Linked DNA regions of Rattus norvegicus. The protein of the gene in region 3 purifies or fractionates together with the protein of the main gene of each other region. This does not show direct contact. Links are inferred from orthologs where the notes say so. Each region holds a gene or a part of one and is shown on either strand. Other genes may lie near its edges. The genes, in order: Smarce1, Bcl7a, Arid2 and Bcl7c.

Region 1 (4,300 bases), on a different chromosome or scaffold from region 3:
ACACCTTTAAGCAGAGCAGTTGGCAAACCAACCTGAACAAAATTTAGAAACGAGATCTGACCCATGGGTAATGAAACCCTTACTTGAGCAGCTTGAAAATAAGATTTATGAGTGTAGTTATCCTTAGAACAAGACACTTTATTTAATGTGAAAATTTTATACACAGATAAGAAAGTTTAATTAAAAAATTTGTGCTGCTGGGGTTCCAACCTAGGGCCTTGCGAATGCTAGGTGAGTGCTGTCACTGAGCTACCCCAGCCCTTACTTACAGTGAGAGAAAAATGTAACCGGTTGAAGGTTAGGTTTAAAAACAACAAATAAAGGAATAACCAACAGCAGGATGAGCACTGACTCACTGTCAGCTGCGAGGCCCTTTACCAGGGGAAAGGCTAGAAAGGAGTGTCTCACTGATTTCCTGCTAGGAGAAAAGAGAGCACAGGAGGTGGGGAGTTCATAGCATGTAATTTTAAATGTTGGGTTTGGTTCAAGGTAAGGATGAAAGGAGTTATTTTATTTAGTAGGAAGTGCTGATTTTTAGCTGAATTTTCTATGCTGTGGCTGTGAAGACTGAGTGACTGTCAGTGGAAGACATCTGGGTTTTTGTATCAAGGCCAGACTTGGCTATTACATTAACAAGAAAATTAAAACTTACTGTTGCAGGAGCTGGGGTGGGAGGTGGGGCATAAGATGGTCTTTCTGTTTGAAAGAAAATAAATAACTTCTTGTAAACAACTGAGATATAATACTATGCAACAAAACTACCAATGGTCCTGCTTTGAAGAAAAAAAAATGAGAGTATTTTGGAATTCCCATTTGCTAGGGCATTAGTCTCGTATTAATACAGATTGATAAATATAAAAATTGAAACTTACTTGACATTTTGGAAGATTAAGTTCTCAGTTCCTTAAGAATGAATCTGAGACACTAAAATAAAAAAAAAGAAAAAAAAGAAAAAAAAAGAGAATCAAAACTCAGCAAGCATAAGAGAATGTTTTCCTAAAGAATAGGGTAGTTTGGTATTTCTGAGCAAAATTACTTCACTGTTAATTGCTAGTAATCAAGCCTTTTTGCATATTTTAACTAGTCCTTATATTCATTTGATTGATCAGAATTAAGTGATGAAAATGAATTACTGGGAAATTTAGAGTTCTATCAGAGATGGATTTTTTTTAGGTTTTTGCTTATGACATTGAGAGCCACGTCTTGTATGGAAAACATTTTGCTGATGCCATGCGAACGATTACTTAAGACTGATAAAAAAAAAATAATGACAATAGAATGTGATGTATTATCAGGGTGACCCCAACAAGGCCTACCAGATACTGACCAATAACCCCTGATCAGAAGCTCTGCCCTATCGAGGGGGCCTCTTTTATCGAAACAGAGCAACGTCTTATTCCTGGAGGCAGTGTGAAAGAAAGATAACTCATGCTAACAAACTTTACATTCTCTTTTGTTGGTAAATAGTTCCCTAAGAGCTGGAACAATTTTCTCAGGTTACTGACAGGACACCTGTTGTTCCTTTACTGTCCATTTCAGAAATTACCTCAGGTCCTCTCTGGTGAATTATCTGGACAGAACTAATTGCCTTGTCTCTGCGTTCCTACAGGGCTTACTAAAGATCAGTGGCATTTTCCCTCACACAACATGTGAATGTGGCTGGGTTCTGTCTTGCAAGAGAGGAGGGATGGTCTAACCTATTACTCAAACGTAGCTCGATTCTTCATAAATTGGGTCCTAGTATTACCAGCTCAAAACACGGACATTATCTGAGCTTGCTCCTTTCTCAACACAGACCACAAATGGTAATGCATAAAGAGATGAAAATTTATTTTTAGAAAGATGGTGAATACATTTTTTTCTTTCTTCTAGTTTTCATTTAAAGGAAGTGCCTCAAACCATCAGGGTTAAGAGTTTTTGATGTGTTAATTGCTAATTTTTTTTCAACCCATCTCTTTTACTTCCATCAACACCCAGTAGGCCTTGCTGTGGGGAGCCCCGACAGAAACTGTGACAGGGTCCCTGGCACCTTACACTTCACTGCTAATACTTACAAATGATTGCTCTCCTGGGCTACAAACTCTAGTAGAGAGTGGATCTAACCATAGTGCCTGGCATGCAACTCAGTATTTGTTGAATTAATTACCTTACGGGTCAGGCTTTTAACAGTCTTGTTCACTAGTCACAACGACCCTACCAGATACGTATGGCCTGTCCCCATTTTACAAAGGAAAAAAACAGTCCCGGGGCGATTAAGTGTCTAAGGCCATAGGCCCAGAAATGCCAGAGGTGGGTTTAAACCCAACCCACACCGTCTCAGACTTCATCCAAGCCACCCCGGGTGTCTTTAGGCCGCTACTTGAGCCCCACCCCCCACCCACCAAAATGGGAACCACCTTCCTGGGTGAGGACCCCCGCTAGCCTTGCCCATTGGGCTTCCCGAGATCCTTTCCTTTGAGTTTGTGGCGGGCGGAGGGTGAGCTTTTCTGGAAACTCCCCCGCAGAGGGTTGTGCATGGGTGCTCGGCCAGCGTCCGGAGTCCAGCATAAAGGGACTAGTGGCGCCTCCGAGAAGCTGTCCCGGATGGGGCTCCCCCACCGCCGCTAGGCCTCTCAGAGGCCGCACCGGCTCTAGCTCCCGCCTCGCAGCCGAGGCCGAACCCCAGCACCCCGCGGGAACTCGGGGTCCCGCCAAGCCGAAACACCACAGCTCACCACCCTCCCCGACCGGGTCGGGCCCACTGGGAAACACTCACCCGCGGGCCGAGAAGGCGCCCGCAGCTCCGGCTTCGCTTCCCTTTGTCCCGCGCTCGCCCCGCCCCTCGCGCCGGAGCTTCCGCGCTCGCACTTTCCACACGCTCCGGGGAATTTTCTGCGGGCTGCGGCCGGCCCTCCTCCGACGAACAGCCCTTCCAGTGAAGACGCGGCAAGGTTTAGTGCGCCAAAGATTTTTTTTTTCAGGCTCCTCGGATCCCTCAGAAGTCTTTCAATTTGGATCCTGTCCCAGCCGGGCGCCGATTCGTCACGGCGAGGAGGGCGGAGAAGGTTGGGCCGCGTTGCGGGCCCTGGTTCGCGGCCCGGCGGCAGGAACTGCGCAGACTGCGTACCCCGGCTTCACTGAGGCGGTGGGTTCCGCTGCGTGAGGCAAGCGCTGGGGGAAGGCTCGCTGGAGCCTCTCCCGGGAGAGGGCGGGTCGCAGCTCCCGCACACCCCAAACCCTGGCGTTCCCCTTCGCTCTGATCCTCTGTACTCCGCTGATGGACGTGTGGATGGAGGATGGAGAATGTAGGCGGGGAGGACCCGGATCCCCGCGTTTTGGTCCTTGCTGGCGCTCGGCAGGGCTCCCTGCCTCCACCTAAGCGAAAAGCAACACGGGAGTTTTGTAGTTTTTCCAGATGCTTCTAGAGGTTGAATGATGGCGACAGGTTTCAGAGCCTAGGGTCCTCATATGTCAGCTCACTCTTTCCAGCTTGCATACCTGTGACAATTCACATCTCTTACCAGGAGGGCTAATTCAGCTCACCCTCGCTTGTCTTTAAATAGTCAGCTCAATGTTTCTTTGTGATGCCCTCCTAGAACTTTTCCAGGGCCTGTTGAAACCCTCTTGATGGGATTGGGCCATCTGCAATCTTGGAGAGTCTTGAAAACCAAATTTCAGGCATCTGGACTGGACAATTTCATAATTACCAATGATTTCGAAGGGCTAGACTTGTAATTAGGTGCTCAGTAAGTGTGTGTGTAGCCACCTTTCTGGACTATTCCAGGGCTTTTTTTTTTTTTTTTTTTTTTTTTTTTTTTACAAATTACAAGTATTTGGCGGACCATAAGAAGTTGGCTAGTGTGGGTCACGTCATGGTGGAGGAAAAAATGAGCAGACCGTCTGTGGTTATCTAAGGACAGTGTTAGCATCTAGAGAAACTGGTTGAATTCTGGGACTACCTCTTGGCCCTTATCCTCGTGAGGTATCTTTAGAAGTCTGCAGAGCCAGGAATAAATGATAATATTGTTCAGTTCTTCCATTGTCCAATATTTTCATTCTGGTGAGATGAAATTAATGAAATAAAAGTGTATTGAAAGGAAAGGCTAAAGGAGAGTTTTCCAGATGAGTGAATAGCATAAGGAAATGTATCTGAAAATGTTTTTTTTTTTTTTTTTAAAACACAAAAAGCATAGAGAAGATGAATGTAGGATCCACACAGTTACGTCAGGGATCCAGTGTCTTCTTCCTCTGTCTGCCCAGTAACTCCAGCCTTGTTACGTCCCTGCTTTAGCAACTGTGGGATTAAGGAATGGTAGGAAAG
Region 2 (7,940 bases), on a different chromosome or scaffold from region 3:
CCTAGTCAAAGAGAGCCAGGCATATAACAAGGAAATGCATGAACAAGATCCAGCAAAGAGCATTAGTCATCAGACACAAACTATGAAACAGCCCAGTTTTGTTGAAAGAAAGAAGCTCAAAAATATCTGCTGGGAGGGGACCTAAAAATGACACACTAGACTTATAAAGAACATTTGTAGAGAGCTTTACGGTTTAATCGGGAATCAAAAATATAAACACCTTCAGGGGATAGACAGCAAACTGAAGTCAGGTGGTTTCATGGAGCAAACCCGGTCACCTGAGCAGCTTGAAAGGCGAGGGCCGCTTTGCAGAACTCCAGCTGCTTCTAACCAATTTGGATTTCTTTTTATAATAGCCAAATTCACGTAACCTCACATCAGCCATTATGAACATTTTCCTCCCTTTCCCATTTTCATGGGTATGCATGTGTACGGTCTCCATGTGTGCACACACATTTGCACGCATGGTGTGGTGCACATGTACATGGAGGTGCATGTACAGAGGTCAGTCCATGTCTGGAATTGTCCTCTGTCTGGCTTATTTTGAGGCAGACTGGCTCAATCAAACCAGAGCTTGTAAGTATGGCTAGTCCCAGTAGCCAGCCTGTTCTGAGGAATCGCCTGTCTCGGCCTTTCAAGACTTTGGAATTACAGGCCAGTGGCCACATCTACCAACCAAAACTTTCCATGAGTTCTGGGGATCTGAGCGATAGTCTCTGTGCTTTCGTAGCAAGTGTCTAACCACTGAGTCATGTGCCTGGCTCATTGTAACCATTTACAAGTACAGTTCAGTGACATGGGACATTCACTTCTAACATATAGGTCAAGAAAACTTTCTTCATTACAAAAAAAAACCAACCAACCAAACAAACGAAAAACCATTGGCCACCATTCCCTCTCCCCGTCCCAGCTCCTGTCTACTCTAGATAACTCCTGTAAGTGGGGTCATACAATCTTTGTCCTTGCATGCCTTTATCTTTCTACCTATCATGCCTTCATGCATGTTTAACGATATTGGTATTCCTTGTATTATTATCACGGATGAATAATCCCACTGTTTGAAAAGACATCCATTCGTCAATTGGTATTTGGGTTTTTAATATTTTTACATTTCATCTAGTGCGTGCGCGCGTGCGTGCATGTGTGTGTGCGTATGGTATGTAAACATGTGGCGATAGGAGAACAACTTTCATGAGTTCTTTTTTCCACAGTGTGGGGTCTGAGAGTTGAACTCTGGTCTTCAGGCTTGGCAGCAAACACATGTACTAAACCATCTTGCAGACCACATATGTGAATTTTCAATATATCTTATTTTAAAATTTTTTATATATATATACATATATATACATATATACACACACACACACACACACACACATATATATATATATATATATATATATATATATATATATAACATATATTCTGTGTCGAAACTGTGGTATAGCACTTGCCTAGCAGGCACAATTTCTGCACTAAACAAAAATTCATTCCCTGGGGTACAAGCACATATCTGATGGTCAGATACAGAGGGCCAAAAGTATGAGACTTCTGATTTACAGCACAGTTTTCAACCATGATAAAAATGGTTCTTTGACATATTTGTGGTGTGTGTGTGTATGTTGTTGTTATTTATTTGTTTTGTTTTGGTAGAGTTTGTCTTTGTAGCCCTGGCTGTCCTGGGACTCACTGCTATGTAGACCAGGCTGACCTTGAACACATCGACATCTGCTTGCTTCTGCCTCCCAAGTATTGGTATTAAAGGCGTGCACCACCACTGCCTGGCTCGACTGTTTTTTTTTTGTTTTTCGATTTTGGATTTGAGACAGCGTCTCACTATGTAGTCCTGGTTAGTTAGTCCTAGAACTACGTCCATAAACCAGGCTGGCCTTGAACTCACAGAGATCTGCCTGCTTCTGCCTCAGGAGTGCTGGAGTTAAAGGACTGGGCTACCAGGCCTGACCGTTCATATTTTAATTTTTTTCTTTTTTCTTTTTTTCGGAGCTGGGGACTGAACCCAGGGCCTTGCGCTTGCTAGGCAAGCGCTCTACCACTGAGCTAAATCCCCAACCTCCATATTTTAATTTTTTCCGCATTAGGATCCTGTGTTTAAAGTGGTTAAAAGATAAGCCTGGGGAAGATCCCACAGATTCTCACCCCCATCTCCCCACTAGTTCCCTCTACCAAACCCCTGCAGCACCCCAAACTTCAGGGGGGGTGCTGGGTACTAGAATCACAGCAGTCGCAGATGAAGTTCACGGCTGCAACCTTGAATCACCCCTTGACTCAGTTTCCCCATTTATGAAAGGGCTGATGTTGGCATCAATGCTCATTTTAGGTCATCTCTTGTCCCAGCATCCACCTGGACGAGCATTCGCTCTGGTCCAGTCTGTCTAGCCGCAACTGCACACCCACCTGTCCCTATCCTGGTTGACCGCGGTACATTCTGCCACGCAGCTCGGTCCTAGGGTAGGAAGACAGTTCCTCAAAAGAAAGTCCTTCTGTGTTGGACCAGTCCGGTTTACTTGCTGCTCCGGGCCAATACACTGCACTTCTACTAGGAGCCGTTTCAGATTAAATTGTCATTTTCAGAAAACCCCAAGGAGGTTGATCCGTGACTGGGACAACTTATCTCTACGGGAAAGAAAGTCCTGCGACAATGTCAATTGCCACCGGGCTCCAGCACCTTTCCTAGGACTGTAGTTTAAGCATGGGGAAGCGACTTTCTAGCTCGCACATTTTAACAAGGCAGCTGGCCAGAGACCGGCGCCTCAACTCTTTCTAAGATCACCTCGCGTCCCAAACCGCAGCCTCCAACTCCGAGAACTCAAGCGCCCGACAAGAAACTTGCACGATCGCGCCCGCGGCCACCAACCCGAGCCAGAGCACCCACGGCCTGCAGTCTGCCATCCCCAGGGTGTGTGTCTTGGACGGAGAGGCCCCCAATCGCACCTGCGGCCTCTGGGTGAGTCCGGTCGCGGGGCCGTCCCGCGTGCTGGGAGGTCGGGGTCACCCAAGATAGCTTCCCAGGGCGAGGTCCCCGAGGCTCCCCGGGGTGGGCGGCGGCGCCCGGAGGCCGCACTGCTGGCGGCCGCGCCGCTCCCCCTCGCTCTGTGCAGCTGCCGCCCGGCGCTTGCGCACTGGGCCCCGGGCGCGCGGCGGCACCAGGCTTTGTGTGTGCGCGTATGTGTGTGAGTGTGTGTCTGTGCGCGAGTGAGAGAGCGGGCGAGTGTGGCGAGCAGGACCCGGCGGGCGCGCTCCCCCAGCCTCTCTCTCCTCTCTCTCCCTCCCCGCTAGAACCATGTCGGGCAGGTCGGTTCGAGCCGAGACCAGGAGCCGGGCCAAAGATGATATCAAGAGGGTCATGGCGGCTATCGAGAAAGTGCGCAAATGGTAAGCCGAGGCGCCTGCTCGCTCTCTAGCTCTCCCCGGCTCGCTGCACCGCATCGCGGCCGCCAGCAAGCCGGGACCCAGCGCGCAGAGCGGCGGGGCGCAGCGGCCCCGGGCCCGGAGTTGGCGAGGGCGCGCGGCCGGGGTCACCTGCGCCCCGCGGGGGCTGCGTCCGCTGCCCAGGTGTGCTTGGCGCCGGTCGCCCACCTGGCGCGGCGGCGGAGGCAGTGGCGGTGGCGGTGGCGGCTGCAGCCCGGAGCCCGGAGCTCCGAGCTCGGCTCTCGGGAGAGGGGGGTTCGCAGCCGGCCCCAGAAGCCATTTCGTTTTTTTGTGCAAGTCACATGAAAGCGGCTTCCCGCGCGCCGGGGCCGTGATGCCGGCGGCGGCGGGCAGAGCGCGAGCTCCATTGTGCAGCGCGGAGCGGGCCGCCGTCTCCTCCCGGGGCGGCGCGGCGCCGGTGTCCCCCCAACACACACACACATACGCACACACACTCTCACCCTACGCCCCGACCCGCCCGCAGCTCCCCGCCTCCCAGGCCTCGGCGCCCTCGAGTCTGCGGAGTTTGCAGAGCGCGAGCCGTTTAAATTTAGCGCTTTGGGCAGCCTGGAGCGAGGGCTCCGGGCGAGGAAGGAAGATGGGGGCGAGCGCTAGGAAGGCGGTGGCGCGGCCCGGGCGCGGAGCACCCACGGCTCCCACGCGCTCCGCGCGGCACCCGGAGCTTGGGGAACGCGATGTTTGCAGCCAGAAGCCAAGTCCTGGGCCGTGTCTTGCCTTCTTCTAGCTGGAGCTGGTGTTTGTTTTGCGGAGAGAGCGAGCGACCGTTGTTTTTGTTCTCTGCACTGGGGGAGGAGGAGGGGACCGGGAGATTCGGTGTGGGCCGTGCGTGTTTTTCGAGCTCAAATTAGATCGTGCCCGGCGTGGCCTCGTTATAATTAGTAGGATGGAACATTTTCACGGCCCTCGTCGGGATCTGACTCCGAGGCGGCCCCAGAGACCAGGCCTGAGGCTCCAGTAGTCCACCACCAGGTTGGGTCAGACTTGTTGAAAACTCCCTGCTCCCTGATTTTAACTTTATTACGTTTTTTTTTTTTTCCCACGGCTTCATCTGGGTCCGAGCGGGAGAGGAGCAGCTGCGAGGGTGTCCCCAAGTGTCAGCGGCTGCTGGCTGGACCTGTCCTTTATAGGAACTGGCCAGGCCCCACTGCAGGCTGTTATTTTGGGGGGGTTTCATTTCTTGAGTCACGCCTCTGTTGTTGTTGTCTTTTTTTTTTTAAACACTTCTGGGGGTGCCTGTCTCCGGCTTGATGGTGTCACAAGTTAGCTGTCCTTTCAGAGTGAAACCCAACAAAAAAGGCAAGGAAAAAAATCAATAAAGTCCACGTGCTCCCGGGCCTCCTATGGAAAGGGCTGTCTGCGGATGGCCGGATGCCCGCCGTGGGCTGGGTTTGGCTCCAATGGGACAAAGAATTTTCACAACCGTGAGAAGGGGAGGCTTTCCAAAGTTGAGATCCAAGTCCTGGGTGCCGGGAGCTCCCCTGCTGAGCAGGGCGACTAGTGCCCAACTGGAGCCATTTAAAAATGGCAGAAACAGCTGCAGGCCAAAACACAGGAAAACAGCACAGTAACGGACCCTCTCCTGTGGGACTCTCAAGGGAAGGCTGGGGTGGTAGAGAACTGATATCAGAGCAAGCGTCCCTTCTGTCTGTCACCGGCCTGGACGGTAGAAAGCGGCAGGCTGGCCGGTGTAAGCTGCCTTTCTGGTCCTGGAGCTGTGACAGCTGCCGCTGGGTCTGCCAGCTGCTCTGCAGGGCGGGCAGATGGAGGGATGGGGCTTTCCACCCTGCGGGCCCCAGAGCAGCAGGCCTGGAGACTTCTTCCATCCCAGCGGGTTCACAGCCTGCGGAGCCTGGGAGTGCAGCGGGGGATGTGGCCGCCTTCTTCCCCGTAGTGCATCATGACCTCTAAAGACTTCAGGCTTTTTGGGATCTCCTGCTCGAGTTTCTACTTCTCTTCCTAGCTGTGACCTTGGGCAAAGCATGAAACTCAAGTTCCTTGCTGCTGTCAACTAGGGGACTCGGTGCCCCTTCCCCTTCCAGAACTGCCTAGGACTGGCTAGTCAGGTGGAGTCACTGGAGTACACAGGGGCCCTTGTAAACGCCCTTATGTAAGGTGGACTTTTGTAGAAATTTGGATCTGCTTCCCGTCCCCATCTTACACAGAAATGCAGGGGGCTTCCTTGAGTCACGGGATCTGGTCTTGGCCTGTCTGTACAACAGTGTTGCAATCAACCCTGAAGGCTTTGGGGTTGTTTATTAACTGTGGGCACCAACCATGCATTTCACCACTGGCTAAGGCATGGGGCTGCCATAATTAGCAAAGGAAAATACAGAACACCCAGGTAAATTTGAATTTCAGAAAAATAACAAAGTGATTTAAAAAAAAAAAAGTCCCCCCTCCCCCGTATAGTGATGTATGCCTATAACCTTAGCACTTGTAGAGGCAGGAGAATCAGGAGTTCAAGGATAGCCTCAGCTACATACTGAGTTCTGGGCTAGCCTGGTCTACATTCAAGCTTGTCTCAAAAAAAAAGGCAAAAATGAAAATGTCTACTGAGAATATTGCTTTAATGGTAGAATTTGAGCTTAATATGTACAAAGCTCTGGCTGTACACACACACACACACACACACACACACACACATACACACATATACAACCCTTTATGTAAGTATAGCCCATGAAATATTTGAGACACATACCAAACAGTTATCCATTTATCTGAAAAACTCAAAATCAGTGAGGAATTCTGTATTTTATTTTACTTATTTATTTCTTTTTTTCGGAGCTGGGGACCGAACCCAGGGCCTTGCGCTTGCTAGGCAAGTGCTCTACCACTGAGCTAAATCCCCAACCCCCTGTATTTTATTTAGAGGAGAGGCGAGGTGTCTGGCATATCATTCAGTCTGAAAGCCTAGGATGGTATTTTTTTTTTAATACTCTGATTGGCTAGCCCTACCCTTCCTCTGCCCTGCAGAAGGAGCCAGTGTGAACTATGGCCTCCCCACCCATAGCTGGCGGCTACTCCTCTTCTTTCTGTCTGGTGTCCTGGCAGGGCGGGTTGGTGGGGTGTGAGGTAGCCAGAAGATGACTGAAGAACAACATGGTAGGTCCCTATTGGGTCAGGCTGGGAGGCCCAGTGTGAGTGAGAAAGACAAAGGGAGATCAGAGCTTCGTGGTAGGCATTGGTCCAGGACCTTTCAGCTCTCAGTCCAAGAAGTCCTTTAGCAACTCACATAAGGACAGACTGACTAGTTTGGGGCTTTTCACCCATCCCTAAGAAGTGCCATCTGAGGGGGACTCAGACCTGATTAGGATGAGGTCAGGTCTCCCGGGATGACAAAGACTAACCGTGTAGTGAATTTACAAAGGGATTTAGAGCTCTCTGGAGCCAACAAGGCCCCCTGAGACTCACCGCACCTAGACCCAGTAGAGCACTGGGAGTTTACCTTGGCCTTGAGAATCCGAGATGGACTCTGTAGTTTATAGAGGAGTCCGAGCTGGAGAAGAACTTTGGAGCTGTAGTCTTACATCTGGGACTTCATTTCATCCTTTTATCTCAGGAACACAAGGCAGGAGGTACAGAAGCCAAGCCTGTTGCCATGGGAACAAGCCTTTTTTTTTTTTTTTTTTTTTTTTGTGGCTAGGTCGAGGTGCAACTTGGTGGTCAAAGTGAACGCCTCCAGGTGGTGAGAGGTGCGGGGGCTGTGGTTGGGGGAGCCAGTGTTAGCCATTGGGAGCAAGCTGTGGCTCCCAGGGGGAATATGGACTGCAGATCATGTTTCCAGAGTACCCCAAAACTGGATTTTTATGGTTTTTCTCTCTCTTCTCCTTTGGTAACCCAGTCAACCTTTTAAAGGGTAAACCATGAGGGTAAACCAGACGTGCCTGCCTGCCGGCCACTGGCTTGCCACTCTTGCTGTTAGATGATGGGAACTGTCTCGTTCCCTCAGCATAGGGGCAGCCAGCTGTGTGTGTGTGTTCCCCCACGATGGGCGGCAGCACACGTAGGAGATGTGAGCTGCTGCCCTGAGCCAGGGCCCTTGGAAGAGACAAATCCCAGGTCAGAGGTCAATCCCAAGGTCAGGTCGTACTTCAGTTTTTGAAAGTTCTATTACTTTTTTCTTTTTTGACTTATTTTGTGTGTGGGGTGGGATCATACTCACGTGTGCTAGGACGCACGTGTGGAAGTCTGAGCCCAGCCTGTGGGGGTAGGTCCTCTCCTTCTATCATATCAGTTCTGAGGGTCTAACTCAGGTTATCCGATGTTTTTACCCACCACCTACTGAGCCATCCCACCAGACATCATCATCATCACCACCACCACCACCACCATCATCATCACCACTGTCATCATCACCTTCACCACCATCATCATTATTAATCTCATTGTGTAGTTTAGAGCCACCTGGGATTTAGAATTAGCAATCCTGCCTAAGTCCCTGGGGGTACAGGAATCTCAGGATCTCAAGGTACTAGAATGATGTCCCA
Region 3 (6,789 bases):
CTTCTGTTTCTGTGTATAATATTCTGTTATAGGGGCCAGACATGGATTGGAGGTCAGTGTGGGTCTCATTCAAAGCCCTGTCTCAAAGTGCAGTAAAGAAAGAATGCCAGGGTGCAGAGTTCTGGCTCATTGCTTCTAATGGCTGCTGTCTGAGGTGCTCTCCAGTGAGCTGGCTTGTTTATAAGCAGTCAGTTCTATACAGAGGGTTTGTTTTTGTTTCTCCTTGGAAGAACCTCCGATTTTCTCACCTTTTGTAGGTAGGCAGTTTTAAGGACAGTTAACATGAGGGCTTGCATTGTGGAAATGAGACGGAAGGAAGGTCCTTGTGTCTCTTAAGCCTGTTTTCTTCCCACTGATTAATTCTACCTATATTAATTCCCCTCGCCTATACTGCCCATTTCTAAAACCTATTATGGGGGTTGTGGATTTAGCTCAGTGGTAGAGCGCTTGCCTAGCAAGCACAAGACCCTGGGTTCGGTCCCCAGCTCCGGAAAAAAAAGAAAAAAAAAGGAAAAAAAAACCTATTATGTTTTGTTTCTCAAGAAAATAAATTTCTTTTCAAATTTTGGTGCTTTTGATAGGATATAAGCTTTTCAAATTGTTTGGTTTTCCCCAAGGGTAATTTGTATCTTAAAATGTTTCTAGTAAAACAACTCAGACCAGCATGTGAAATTGAAAATTCCAGAAAATAAACAAAAGTTATGTTTATTATACAAATCTCTAGCCTTAAAGTATAAATATAAAAGAAAGAAAAGACTCTGGATATAGCTGTGTCCAGAGGTAAAACATGTTCGGGTCCCTAAGTATAACCTCTTGCATCCCCACCCCCAAGTGTTTGGCTTTGAGACAGGTCTCTGTATATAACCCTGGCTAGCTTAGAACTCTACATAGATCAGGCTGGCCTTGAACTTAAGAGATCCATCTGCCTCTGCCTCCCAAGTGCTGGGATTAAAGGCACGTGCTTCTCAACTGAGCTAAGTTTGGTCTTGTTTTTATAGAAAATCATGTATTCTCCGTTGATTTCAAAGTTTGTTAGATAAAATTTTGAGAAGTCATGTTTAAAGGGTCTACAAAGCAAAATTTTCAGTGAGTTTTGGGAATGTAGTACCCCCCATACAAGAACAATAAAGTCCCACCAGTACCACAGAACCCTGCTCTGCCCTCATCTGGCAGCCTCCTCCTCTCCCCCAGCCTTCCACTGTCCTACTCCGGTTATTCTAAGTGACTTTAACTTGATAGAAGTCATATCAGACAGTGGGGTTTTCACCACAGGAATTGTGAGATTGATTTCTCAGGTTACATGTAGCAATGCTGTGCTCATATTTCTGGAGTACAGAATTATGGTTACTGGCTTGTTCCTTTGGTATCCACATTTTGTTCCTAGTCACGGAAGGTGAACCTAGGGCCTTGTCCATTCTGTGCAAGTGCTCCACCACCAAGCTATCCCCAGCCTTCCTCATTGAGTGTTAAGTTAGAACTTGTTTTCCCCCTTGATTAACTTCTCTACAGGGTTTTTATCACAATTTTAGTGATGTTTTCACCTCTTTTTTTCCTGTTTTTGTTTTTTCTAAGGTATTTTTTATCATCTTAGTTTCACCTACATTTACATATATGGGCCACATATGTGCACTGCCTAACAGGTCAGACTGGTTAATCAGAACCAAACAGGGGTCCTTGGCACGATCAGGCTCTTAACCGCCAAATGATGTCAGCAGCCCATTCTCTGGTTTCTTTTCCCAGGACTTTATTGAAAGTAGTTAAGTTCTTGGGTATTCTCACTGCTATGTGACTTATCTTCCAGATGTTAAACATGAAAGTTATCACACTAAGCCCAACTTGAACGAACTGTAAAGTGAACGAACATTCTGTATCATTGCATAGCTTCCGTTTGACAGCTGAGTAGGCTTTACCTCAGTTACCTTAGCCTCCTGTCCCTCGGTACTCTCCCCATCCTTGTCCTCCTTAGCCCACGGCCATCTTTACTGATGACACTCACTCCCACCGTCTCTATGGTCACAGCCATCAAGACTGTCGCCTTTGTCACATTTGAGTTCATGAACGTGTTTGTTACTTGCCAACAACTTTCTGATTTGTGAAATTCATAAAATGCTGAATGAAGATACAGAAATACTCTGTGTAACATTCCGTGGATGCCAACCCTGAGCAGCTGAGGTGTCTTCTGAGTGTGGGGTCCGGCAGACACCTTAATTTCCTCACAGTGAATCCTATTAGTTGATGGTTAGCTTGAGCCGCCTCTTTCTACAGAGCTGTTGATATTTTTATTTTAGCTGTATAATCTGTGATAAGGAATCTTATGTAACTATGATCCTGGAGACTGACAATTTGTTTCCTTTTGTTTTTTAGATTGTTAAAAAGACATGAAAACAACTTATCAGTGCTAGCCATTAGTAACATGGAGGCTTCCTCTACCCTTGCCAAATGCCTTTATGAACTTAATTTTACAGTTCAGAGTAAAGAACAAGAACAAGACTCAGAAATGCTGTAGTGAATCCTACCCCACTGACACAGTGGGGGCTCAAAGTCAAACACATTTCACTGTTACTGAAGAAAGCACCAAGTCTTAATGGAGCAGAGACCATAGAATGAATTATTTTGTGTCCTCCCATGATGCTGAGAGGAAGCTTCGTATTCTGATCTCTGAACGAATCCCTTTCTTTTCTGTTAAAAAAAAATCTAAAAAGGAAAAAAAAAAAAAACAAACAAACTGCTGTGGGATTGACAACCAGCCTATCTGCAGGATGTCTCGGGTCTGGCCAATCCTGATGGAAACTGGTGTGATCAGAATTCTGTACCATCCACATTGGAATATACATGGAATAGTGTAAAACCTACGTGAGCAGATGAAATAGAAGCATTAAATATTTTTATCTATATCCAAAAAGGAGCACATTTTTATATTTACAGAACCATTTAAGCTGGTTTGAATAACGACGACAAAGTTTGAGCACACCTATCCCCCAGCTTCGGAGGGGCCACCAGTATCTAGCTGTGGATTGTGTGTTTTGTTTAGAATCAGTAGCTTGGTTTTCTTACTTGAGCCAATATATTTTCACTTATTTATTATCATAAAAATTTACCAGTCTGAATAGATCTTGTAAATATTTGTGAATAGAATGAACACCGTTCATACCACTGCAGCCACTGGAAATCATTCTGTGGTGTCCTGGAAGCATTATCGGTAGGCTCTAAAGTTTTCTAGACTTTGCTGTCACCTGTAATTGTGATGTATTCTAGGCAGTGGTGGACACTCTTACATTTGTGTAAATACTTCTGCAGAGGTACTGATGCTGTAAAGTCAACAGTTTTGTGGAACTGTGATTTTTTTTTCCCCCTCCTTTTTTTGGTTTCCTTGGATCCCACTCCCTTGGGTGGGGTTTTTTTGGGTTTTTTTGTTTGTTTTGTTTTGTATTATACACCTTGTAGAACTCATTTTGCTGGCTGAAAGAGTATGGAATAATATATCTCATGTCATTTTTGTAGAAGAAAAACTATTTGAATTTTTTTTTGTTTGGTTTTCCCTCCCATGTATCCACTGTAAGCATTTGTCATGTGCAAGCTCAGAGCTTGTGCAGAATTTTTTGTATTTGTAAATTGGTTTAAATACATGGAATTTTATACAGGTTTTCTCCTGTGTTATATATGCATTATGTGCAGGTATGATATTTTCTTCACTACTTTTTCTATCTTAATATAGTGTGGAATTTTATTGTATTATTCTTCCATTCTTAATACTGTACCACATTCCTGCTCAAAAACTGCTCACTTCCTTAAATTGTCTTTTTTCCCCCTAAGCGTGAAATGTATCCACTTATAACTGCCTATTGCCTGTTCTATTAGCATCCAAAAATGTGGAAGGCCTCCCAACAACCATTTCTGCTGTGTCCTTAGGATGTGCAGTAAAAAATATAGACCTGACAGTTTATGTTATAGAATGGCTTTATTTACTTTGGTGACTGTTTATAGTTTTTAAATAAAAGACTGAACATTTTCTTGAGTCCTTTATTTCTGAGTATGCTTAAGACATTGTAAAATTTAAAGTCTAGCTGAAGGCAAAGTCAAACGGTCACCTCCTTTATACTTTGTGATAATATTGTAGAGAGCAGAAAGGTGCATCAGATGACATACACCATGGTCATGGCAGGAAAACCAAACTTTTTGTTTACGATATTTAGGAGCAGTAAGCCCAGTGAGAGACAGTTCAGAGCTCAGCTGCCTTACCCTTGTGTCAGCATCTGACTGAAGCTTTTCTTTACCATTTGACTGTAGGTTGAATTCAGAGGCAGATTTTTTAATGAGCTTCAGTCTGGACATACATTTTCAGCATCTTGATTCACTAATTATTACCTGAAGTAATTTCTCCCCAAGGGGCCTCTGCCTGTGTACTCGGCTCTATCTGTAAAACGATGTGTGGAAACACCCAAAACTCGGTATTCTCAGGTTGTTGGCATTGACTTCTTCACCTTAGACTGGGGCTGCCCAGCAGACAGCCTGGGTCCAGATACCTTATTATATCCCGCAAATATTTCCAGACTAAAGGTTCCTAAGGGCAGATGGTGGCAGACATTTATATTCACTGTGTTTATCTAAAAAATTTGAGGCTTTCTGAAATAATTTTTGTAACATCACTGTTTGCTTCTCTTCAAGGTACCTTTTACCTTTCAAAGCAGGAAATTACCACGGTGGTTAACTTTTAGTAGCAGAAACAACAGGCTTAAAGTGATTTCCACAGTCACCATCTTGTCACCTCACTGAATTGCATCCTGTAGTTGTAGGTTTTGTGTTAAAATGTATAAATGTGTCTTTAGTGCTTTTAAGCAATGGTCTCAGCAGAATTTTCTCAATGTACTTGACCTGAGGAAACCAATTTCTAGCTTCCCTCTTAGGCTTTCCCTCCGACAGCTTTACCTGACTAGCGGACTAACACGGACTTGGTGGGTGACGCAGCTGAAGTGCCCTTGAGTCCAGGTCCTGCAGAACCCTCAGTCATGAAAAGGTGCTCCGTGCTAGACAGAAACTTGCTGACTTCCAGTATTGTTATTTTTGTCTAAAGTTGTGTAAATACAAGCTTTGATGTTATCTTTGAGAAATCTATGTAAATAATAGTCAACAACATAGACTGTACAATTCTGTGTTATATATGTGCCTAGTGCTCTGTTGGCACTTAATAAATTTTAAGTAACAAAACTGATGATCATATAGTGAAGGCATATTTTTCTTCCGACTTGACAGGATATGACTATATATTAATGAGACTCAATAAACCAAGCCACACATGAAAACTTGTCTCATTACTTTATAGCCATGCCATGTATGTTTTTTAAACCATAAATGACAATAAAAGTGATTTTTGAAATGAGTGTTTTGGGTAAGTGGCTTCTGTCCTGATCTTGTACCATAACTGAAGTCCTGAAGACAAAGTGTGAAGCTCTTCCCCAAAGGAACAGCTGCTCAGAAACAAGACTTTGGCTTTGAGATCAGCCACGCAGGACACCTCACAGTGGTCCCTCCTTCGTTATCTGACACAGTAAGAGAAGGCACCATTTATAGCCAGTTGGTGCTAGTTAACTGCTCTCATACTGCAGTGCACAACTCTTGACTGGACTCAGGCACTCAAATACTTGGAATTAACTAGCCTCCTTCCAAGGCCACAAACAGATGAGACCAAATCACCATCATAGCCGTAAACTTTACCTAGCAAAGATTTCCATTTACTGCACTGGTTTGAAAAAAAAATGCAAAGGGACAGTATCCATGTATGTAGGTGGATACATTTCCTTTGATAATAACTCAAGTACTAAACAGAGGGTGGGGTAGCTCGAATTGCAGATGCTAACACAAGCAGGAAGAAGCGGCCAACGAGATGGAAGCACTAACATGGCTGTACACAGACATTAGTCGTGGTCTGCAGCTACGACCAGGATGTTAAATGAACTAGGACACAGCAGAAACCATACAGTACAGCATTACTGCCTTACAGCAAACCTTCATCCAAGCACTGCTCACAGGCTGACAATCCCCAAGACTCTATATCCCACCCCTGCCTCAGATGCAATGACCCTGAAGCAGCTGCTTGCCAGCTCAGATCCTCGTCTCTAAATGCTGCTTTTTGAGTTCAAGTGTGGCTCACTGGTACTGCTCACGTGGCAACATTAATGCACATGAACAGTAGTTTAGGCTCATCCGTCGATTATAAATGACCCCGTGCGCTGTCTTGCGGTCACTGTCTAGTGACTTACTGTCATGGAGCAGTTTATGGTAACTTACAAATCAGGGTCACAATTGAGTCTGGGTTTTGATTGCTAATAGCAAGACAGTCCTTGCCCTCCTGAACAGACCCATTTAGTTAAAAAATTTTTTTTAAGTTCCTTTGGGAAGTTTGTAATGGCATTCTTAGGTATGGTATCTCATCTGTAGTCAGTAAGGCCTTTCATCCCAGCACCCAGGAGGCAGAGGCAGGCAGATCTTCGTTCTATCTCAAAAAAGAAATGGAAGGGGAGAGGAGACCAAGAGGGCCAATCCACCATGCTCCACGGTTAACCAAGTATTCTCAATAGCACAAACTAATGTCACTGGGTAAACCAGGTAACAGCTGTGTGCTTTGAGAGGGCTGAGGTCTGGTTGTGTGTGACTGTGAGGAGGAACGTAGCCTCAGACTTTCACTCCTATTCAGATATGAGCGACCACTCAGGCTCTTAGGAAAGTAAAGGGGTCACAGGTAAAATTCCCAGCACAGAGGCAGTAAGCATTAAGACAGGCCAAAAGGACATG
Region 4 (8,100 bases), on a different chromosome or scaffold from region 3:
CAACCCAGGGTAGACTCTGAAAGGACTGGACACACTTGCCTCTACTATTGGTTCCCAAGCGCCTTGGGCACTGGCACAGAGGATCCACATTGGTTTCAGGTTTCAGATAATGGAGTGTAGGCACACCTTTTGCAACCTACTTTTTTTTTTCAACCTACTTTTAATAAACGTTCAACCTCTCCTCTTGCCCACCACCCAACAAAGGTAGTGGAAGAGAAAAGTTATGAGGATATGGGGGAAGTGGACCTGTTCAGCAATGTTTCCAATCTTCTTTGGCAGCAGTTCAGTCGTAGCAAACACCAAATATGACTCAGCAGCTGTCCAGTCTTCCAGGCAGGCAGACCCCAGGCAGGAGCCAGCAGCTGTAGCTTAGTCCTGAAGAAACTGCAAAGCTCACCAACAGGTCAAAGGTTTCAGAAGCAGCAAGCTGCCTCAGGAACCTCAGGAGCAGTTCTTGGGCGAGCTTCTCTCAATGTTGGAGTTATCACAAGTTGAGCTCAACAATACTAGGTAAGGCGAACCAATACATGTGTGTCGTTAGCAAAAAATATTGAGGCAGAACAAAGCAAACCAATGCTCAGTGCTAATCTCCCACTGTCTGTGAGGTCATAGTTATACTCCTTCAACACAGGTCCTTCTATATGTTTGCTATATCAAAACATTCTTTCATGTGTCTGTGTTAGCAAGACATCCTTTCAGCCTGTGTGCCCCAGAAAACTATCATTTGATATAAATGACTTCCCAAGCAAACCAGAAGTTCCCACTTCAGTGGAGCTTGTGAGAAAGGGAACTGAAAAAGCCTGTGTGGGAATGTCACCACAAGCAGACCGTCGGGACAAAGTTCACCGGCAGAGTGTAGCACAGGTGAACGTGAAGCCACGCTGTCTGCAGTGGACACACACACACACACACACACACACACACACACAAACCAGCAGTATTTATTGGGTATTCCTGGGTGCCAAGCAGTATTCTAAATGTTTTATACACAGTAACTTATTTCCATGTCAGAGGAGGCAGTAAGACAAAGGACTTGCCCACAGCCATGCAGGTAAGTGTGACTAGCTGAGAGATTTTACTTCTTTTTTTAATGTTATTTTTTTAATATTTATTTATTTATTTTATATAAGTACACTGTCATTCTCCTCAGACACACCAGAAGAGGGCATCAGATGGTTGTGAGCCACCATGTGGTTGAACTCAGGACCTCTGGAAGAGTAGCCAGTGCTCTTAACCACTGAGCCATCTCTCCAGCCCGAGGTTTTACTTCTTACAGTTTGGAAATGCTGTTAGTCATGGTGTGCACGGTCACACCAAAGCCTTACAGATACCCCTCACACACAGCACAGCAGACACGTTCTATCTAGTGATGGGCCAGCTTCAAATAAAAATCAGCTGAAACAGTCTCGTCATCTTCCCCTTTACTTATGTGTGTGTTGGAGGCCTGTGTGCACCTGAGTGTGGGTGCTGGAGGAGACAAGAGGACATGGAATCCCCTGAAGGCTGTGCAACGTGGGTGCTGGGAACAGAACTACTGTTCTCTGAGAAAGCAGTAAGAGCTCTAAACCATGGGGCCACATCTCCAGCTCCTATTTTCTTGCTTACTATGTATCTTGTTATTAGACCAGGCTGACCTCAAGCTTATAGTGATCCACCTGCCTCTGCCTCCTCGGTGTTGAGATTAAGGTGTGAGCCACCAACCTGGTCTTTTTTTTTTTTTTTAAAGAAAACTCGACATTTATTTTGGCTATGTATGGTATGTCAGGTGTGTGGAGGTCAGAGAGCTGTCAGGAGTAGGTTCCCTCTTCTATGATGTGGGGTCATCTATTGAGTTTAGGTCATCAGGCTTTGTGGCAAGTCCCTTGTTCACCGAGATATCTTGACAGCATTCATTTTCTTTAAGTAAACCTTTAGCTGAACTATAATACACACAAGAAAAATTACAAGTAATAAATGTCCATCTTGACAGACTAAAGACAAGTGTGACAAGCTCCCGGAAAACACCATGAATGTACTTGTGTTCTGAACTTAGATGTAGAATTATCTAATGCATGTTGTCACATCTGGCTTCTTTTGTTGCAGACCCATCCCCACCATTGCACATAGCAGGACTTTGGTTTTTCTGGTTGTTTTGTCTGTGCTCATGGTATAAACAGGTTGTAACTGGTTTTCCATTCCATTCTGTTGAGTGGCTCCCAGGTTGGTGCTATTATGAAGAGTACCGAACTTCCCAGTATACATATCTTGGTGTTCATACAGACACATTTCGTCCTAGTGAGGTTTCTATTGCTGTGATAAACACCGCATCTATTTCAGCTTGCAGTTATAGTCTGTTATGAAGTCAGGGCAGGAACTTAAAGCAGGAACTGAAGGAGGCCAGAACTGAAGCAAAACCTTGGACGAACTTTGCTTACTCACTTGCTCCCCAAGGCTTGTTCAGTCTGCTTTCTTAAAGTGCCCGGAGGTGGCACTGCCTACAGTGGTCTGGCTCTCCCACAACAACTATTATCAAGAAAATGCCCGGGGTTGGGGATTTAGCTCAGTGGTAGAGCGCTTGCCTAGCGAGCGCAAGGCCCTGGGTTCAGTCCCCAGCTCCGAAAAAAAGAAAAAAAAGAAAAAAAAAAAAAAAAAAAAGAAAATGCCCCATAGACTTACCTGCAGGGCAACATGATGGAGGCGTTTTCTCCATCAAGGTTCCCTCATTCCAGATAACCCTAGCTTGTGACGAGTTGACAAAAAAGAGGCAGCACATATTCCTTCTGTTGAGTGTTGCTAGTTTGGGAGTGGAAACTGTTGGAAGACGGGGTTGGCATAAGTTTTTCAATGGAAGACTGCCAGTTTTCCAAACTATCTCTACCAATTACACACCCTGATTCAAGGAATGGCAAGTTGCTCCTCTGCTACTTCATCTACATGGTCTTTTTCACTCCCGCCATTCTGATTGAGGAGGCCGGCTCTCCACTCGCAGAGTCTGGCTTGTACTAGGCGCTGTTAATGGAACTGTTCAATGAATGAATGAATGAATGAATGAATGTATGAATGAATGAATGAATGAATGAATGAATGAATGAATGAATGAACAAGTTAAGTTGGGCAGCTTAGAATCAAACAGCCTGGAGAGGGCAGACGCGCGCACACAGAGCATTTCAGGGACGCCCACCCGCCGCGGACGCACACCAGGACAGTCCCTCTCGCGCACCCCTGTGCCCACGTGGCCGGAACGCACCGCCTCGTTCGGGCCGCGCGCGTCCAGCCGCACCGCTGCCCCCCAGCTCTCCCTCTCCGCGGCGGGCAGAGGGCGCTGTGCGTCCGTGCGCCCCGAGGGGCGGGCCCGGGCCGGGGCGGAGCTGGCCGGGCTTCCAGGCCGGGGCTCTAGCCGCCCGCGCCGCCCGGGCCGCTCCGGGGACGGGCCGGGGCGGGGCGCGGTCTCAGGAAGCCAGGCGGGGACGCGCGGAGGCGTTGGGGAGCGAGGGAGGGCGCGGCCAACTCCCGGAGGGACGGCAGGCCGAAAGAGCGGCGCCGGGGCCTGGCGCGCAGCCTGAGATCGCCGGACCGCAGGCCGCCCCACCACGGGCTCTGTCCCGGCCCTAGCCCCGCCAGCATGGCCGGCCGGACCGTGCGGGCCGAGACCCGGAGCCGGGCCAAAGATGACATCAAAAAGGTGATGGCGACCATCGAGAAGGTCCGGAGATGGTGAGCGCTGCCCCCGGGTCAGGGATACAGCCAAGCCACCTCCTCCAAACGCGTCCGCCCTTTCCTGGCCCGCTGCCCCCGCCCACCAGCTGTGATCTAAATCGACAGGGCGCCCCCTTTCCTTGGCAATTCCCAGAGGTCTACAAAGCGTGGTCCGGAGTGGTGCTTTCCCTGAGCGGGAGCCCTCATCTATGCCCCGCCCCCTGAAGCTTTTGACACTCTCGCAAGCTTGGCCCGGGGTCTTCATTGCCTGAGTGCCTGGGCAGGCCTTGGTGGCGCCCTGCTGAGTGCCCCAGGTGTCTGCAAAACCGCAGCTCCAAGTTATATCCGTTTATGCTTTGCCCTGGGGTTTAGAGGGCTCTTTCTGCTTCTATGCCGTGTAAACGAAGCTGTCCGTACCCTAGCACACCTCCCTGACCTCCAGTCTGTGGGGCTCACCCTTGGGCCTCCCTGACCCAGTCTCCTGACCTCCCACAGGGAGAAGCGCTGGGTGACTGTGGGTGACACTTCCCTTCGAATCTTCAAGTGGGTGCCTGTGGTGGATCCCCAGGAGGAGGTGAGCAAGCCCAACCCCCAACATGCCTTGCATCTGTGCAACCTCAAGCAATTTCCCTCCCCTTGGCCTCCACCTTCAGTCGGCTTGGAGACTCCACTGTGGAGCCCAGGCAGATGGTAACGATTATTAGGGGGCATGAGCACGGAAGCGCGCGCGCGCGCGCGCGCGCACACACAAACACACACACACACACACACACACTTTCTCCAAGTTCAAGACCTAACTCGGCCTACACAACCTGAGGCAGCACCTTTTGCTTCTCTGAGCCTAGGTTTCCTTATTTGAATTGAAGGACTTTGTAAGAGCTCCCTGGACAAACTAGCTCTGATCTTACTTCTCTAACCCTCAGGAGAGGCGGCGGGCAGGAGGAGGGGCAGAGAGATCTCGTGGCCGGGAGAGGCGTGGTAGGGGCACCAGTCCCAGAGGGGGTGGCCCCCTCATCCTGCTGGATCTCAATGGTATGTAGAGATTCTGGAATAGGGGTGGGGGGGCTGGGTGCTGAAAGAAGCCACTGGGGTCCTCTGGCCAACTAACTTGACTTTTGCTTCAGCAGATGAGAACAGCAATCAGAGTTTCCATTCCGAAGGTTCACTGCAAAAGGGCACGGAGCCCAGCCCTGGGGGGACGCCCCAGCCCAGTCGCCCTGGATCACCAACTGGACCTCCAGAGGTGATTACAGAAGATACTCAGCCCCCACAACTGGGCCAAGAGAGAGGTAGGACCATGTGGCTCTTGGGAGTCCTCTCCTCACCAGAGTTGAACCTACCGCCTTGTATGTGTTTCTATATTGTGTTGTGTCCCCCCCCCCCTCCCCCGTCCTGCCTCCCTCAGGGAACCTTTCCTGACCCTGGCAGAAATTACCTCTGGCTGTGCCTGGCTCATTCCTTGGCATCTTGGATTTGTAGGGAGCGTGTCGCCATCTGAAAACTTTATGTAAATGTACTTTTTGCTTGCTTATTGCCTCTCTGTTACCATCTCATGTCAGACACACTGATCTGGTTCATGTGGGACGCATAATAGATGTTCGGCAACTAAATAATTCTGATAACCCTAGGGATTAGTAACCGTAGATTAACAGCTGACAGAACCACTTATCTGTTAGTCATTCTTCTGAGCACTTCAATGTTTTGTGGTTTGTTTTCTCATTTAACCCTCACTGACATTTTATGGAACCAATGATCCTATGATGATTCCTATTTATACACGAGGAGCCCAACATCCAGAGAAAGATGCCCAGACTTGCAGAGCCAGTGCGCCAGCTCCTCGGCCTTCCTGTAGTCCACCCCCCCTTCCCAGGCATGGCTGACTCCCGTGCCTTTGGCGCTCCCTTCTCACTTCTCACTTGCACTGGCTCTCGCCTCCACATGCTACAGCTTTCTTAGAGCAGATTCCAATCGGCCATTTTCCTGCTTTGTGTCCTTCGTTGGCTCCCGTGGCCTTTGATTCCTTCGTTTGAACCAGAGGCCTTTATAAACTGTTGCTACTGAAATTGTTCCCCTGTCAAGAACACCATGACATGGGGCTTGGGACCACACCTAGGTTGTCCCAAATACTTTCGCTAATATGAAATGATGGGGCAGGGCATGCAGCCCAGTGCAGGTGCTTGTCTGTCATGCCTAAGGTCCTAAGCCCCATCTCTAGTACCACAGAAATGAATGAATGAATGAAACTGCTAGCTGGCACTTCTTGAGCACATACTATGTGCCGTGTACTTGATCCACACAGCAGCCTCTCATGGTGTTACTGTCACTATTTCCATTCTGCGGATGACTGAGAGTCTGTGGTCACTAAGCACATATTTCTATCTGCCTAAATTCTACTCTACCTCCGTTTGCCTCCTGGCTCATTCCCTACTGACAAGATCCAACTTGAGTCTTCCTTCCTCAGCAACTTGGTACCCCTCTGCCCCCACAATGTCATCATGTGTGACCAGTGCCTGTCTGTTTCCTTTGCCCCTGGTCCACTCTCTCAGCACAGAGTAGCTGCTCAGGAAGTGTCTCTTTGTTTGGTGTTACAGATCCAGGGGGCACACCTGCAGGAGGTACTGATGAACCCCCAAAGCTGACCAAGGAGGAGCCTGTTCCAGAATTGCTAGAAGCCGAGGTGAGAGAGGCCAGAGTCCGGACTCTGGCCTTGTGGGGACTGGAGGCTTTGGGGAAGCAGGGAGACTTCATTCTAGGCTCCAGGAGGGAGACGTGGACCTAGAGCCCACAGAAGGCTTAGCTGGAGGTTGGATTCTTGGGTGAAGGAGAGGATTGCAGACACCACCCTGAGGGCTGATCATGGCTGATAGAAGAGCACTAGAAGCCTGAAATGATCTTGGTGCTCCCCTAAGGACTTAAAAAAAAAAAAAAAAAAAAAAAAAAAAAAACCTAGGCTCAGAATTCGGCTTGGTGGTACTTACTTCCTAAGCATGCGCAAGAGCCTGGGTCCCCCGCATCGCACAGACACACATCCTGAGCTGTAAACTTAGCCTAAGACATTGCCTTACCTTCCCCTACAAGGACTACCTTGATTTGCTTTTCAGAAAAAATCAGGTCCTTCCCCCCCCCCCCCCCGCCCCAGACAGGAGTGTAATTGTTTTTGGTGCCTTACCCTACATTCTGGTTACTTGGTCCTGGGCCAAACTCTGGGTTCCCAGGGGAGTGGAGTGGAAAAGTCAGGCTAGGAGGCTGTGCTCTTGGGTTAGAGTGGAGCTCACACCTGTCCGCCCTTCCTCTTCAGGCCCCTGAAGCTTACCCTGTCTTTGAGCCAGTGCCACCTGTCCCTGAGGCAGCCCAGGGTGACACAGAGGACTCGGAGGGCGCCCCCCCACTCAAGCGCATCTGTCCAAATGCCCCTGACCCCTGAGAAGCTGCCTGCCTCCTGTCCTGTTGCTCCAGGGGCCCCTTTGGCTTTTTATAAATAAAGACCCTTTTGTAATTTTGTGTCATGTCATTTCCCTGTCAAGGCTGGGGAGGGTCTTTGGAGACAGTTTTGGCTCATGCTCTATTCCTCAGATGGGGTCACCGAGGCTCTGAGATGACCTGTATTCATGTCATGATTACACATGGGGTGAGGGCTTGAGCCAGGACCTCTCCTCCCTTGCACCCTCGCCTTGCACTTCAACGACCTTTACCCTCCCCAGGGCCCAGCAGCTCTTCACTCACACTTCACTCCCCATTTCACTCACAGGAACACTGGCCCAGAGGAAGCACCCAGCCCCTCCCTGCCCTCAGGAAGCCACAGCATCATGTCTCTCCTCCTAGATGCCTTTCCCTGATTCTAGGCTCCATCAGGATCATTACCTTTGAGTTTCTATAGCCCTTTCAGCTTCCTTCCCTTTGTCTCAACATTTGTCAGGCTGTTTGGGGAGCATGAGTCTGTGTTTCTGTCTTTCAGGCTGCTGGCCTCTCAAGGGTAGGACTAGATCCCTAGATATTCCTAGCTTAACACTGGGGACATAGCCTAGCAAATGCTTCGTGAGTGACTGAGTAAATAAACAGGGCTGTAATCCCAGCACCCAGGAGGCTGAGGCAGGAGGATTGTTGAGTTCCTCTGTGACTGTATGTGTGGTTCTAGGCTAGTCATTTCTACTCTCTGACTCTCAGGTGGTTCACTTGACCAATGGGGTGATAATGAGGCCTCACTCCCCACTCCACCCCTACCTGTCCCTGACCGCCTTCAGCCCAGTCAGTGTCTGGTGAGAAACTTCATCCACATAAGCACTCCTCAGTGTGTACTTGTCAGAGAAGCAGGGTCAGGTGAGTTAGCCTGTTTTAATCATTAACAGAAACAGAGACTGCAGTTTAGGGAGGCATCACTTGAACCATCCAAGCACCTCTTGAAGTAATAATGGAGCCAGGGTTGAC

Evidence for each region.
Region 1: the proteins of Arid2 (region 3) and Smarce1 purify together in Homo sapiens (affinity purification with mass spectrometry; 7 studies listed by BioGRID and IntAct, counting the BioPlex papers as one, with this or other methods). This does not show direct contact. The link is inferred for Rattus norvegicus from reciprocal best matches to the Homo sapiens genes ARID2 and SMARCE1.
Region 2: the proteins of Arid2 (region 3) and Bcl7a purify together in Homo sapiens (affinity purification with mass spectrometry; 3 studies listed by BioGRID and IntAct, counting the BioPlex papers as one, with this or other methods). This does not show direct contact. The link is inferred for Rattus norvegicus from reciprocal best matches to the Homo sapiens genes ARID2 and BCL7A.
Region 4: the proteins of Arid2 (region 3) and Bcl7c purify together in Homo sapiens (affinity purification with mass spectrometry; 3 studies listed by BioGRID and IntAct, counting the BioPlex papers as one, with this or other methods). This does not show direct contact. The link is inferred for Rattus norvegicus from reciprocal best matches to the Homo sapiens genes ARID2 and BCL7C.

The regions. Positions count from the first base shown.
Region 1 is NC_086028.1:84,673,374-84,677,673, forward strand, and holds the start of Smarce1 (SWI/SNF-related matrix-associated actin-dependent regulator of chromatin subfamily E member 1), read right to left. Parts: upstream 2,801-4,300; 5' UTR 2,756-2,800; intron 925-2,755; 5' UTR 880-924; coding exon 873-879; intron 697-872; coding exon 653-696; intron 1-652. UniProt on the Homo sapiens protein: Involved in transcriptional activation and repression of select genes by chromatin remodeling (alteration of DNA-nucleosome topology).
Region 2 is NC_086030.1:38,899,994-38,907,933, reverse strand, and holds the start of Bcl7a (B-cell CLL/lymphoma 7 protein family member A), read left to right. Parts: upstream 1-3,163; 5' UTR 3,164-3,301; coding exon 3,302-3,393; intron 3,394-7,940.
Region 3 is NC_086025.1:129,439,805-129,446,593, forward strand, and holds the end of Arid2 (AT-rich interactive domain-containing protein 2), read left to right. Parts: intron 1-2,364; coding exon 2,365-2,506; 3' UTR 2,507-4,009; downstream 4,010-6,789. UniProt on the Homo sapiens protein: Involved in transcriptional activation and repression of select genes by chromatin remodeling (alteration of DNA-nucleosome topology). Required for the stability of the SWI/SNF chromatin remodeling complex SWI/SNF-B (PBAF).
Region 4 is NC_086019.1:191,749,883-191,757,982, reverse strand, and holds Bcl7c (B-cell CLL/lymphoma 7 protein family member C), read left to right. Parts: upstream 1-3,341; 5' UTR 3,342-3,601; coding exon 3,602-3,693; intron 3,694-4,170; coding exon 4,171-4,249; intron 4,250-4,598; coding exon 4,599-4,707; intron 4,708-4,799; coding exon of another isoform or gene 4,800-4,802; coding exon 4,803-4,964; intron 4,965-6,266; coding exon 6,267-6,352; intron 6,353-6,973; coding exon 6,974-7,099; 3' UTR 7,100-7,171; downstream 7,172-8,100. UniProt on the Homo sapiens protein: May play an anti-apoptotic role.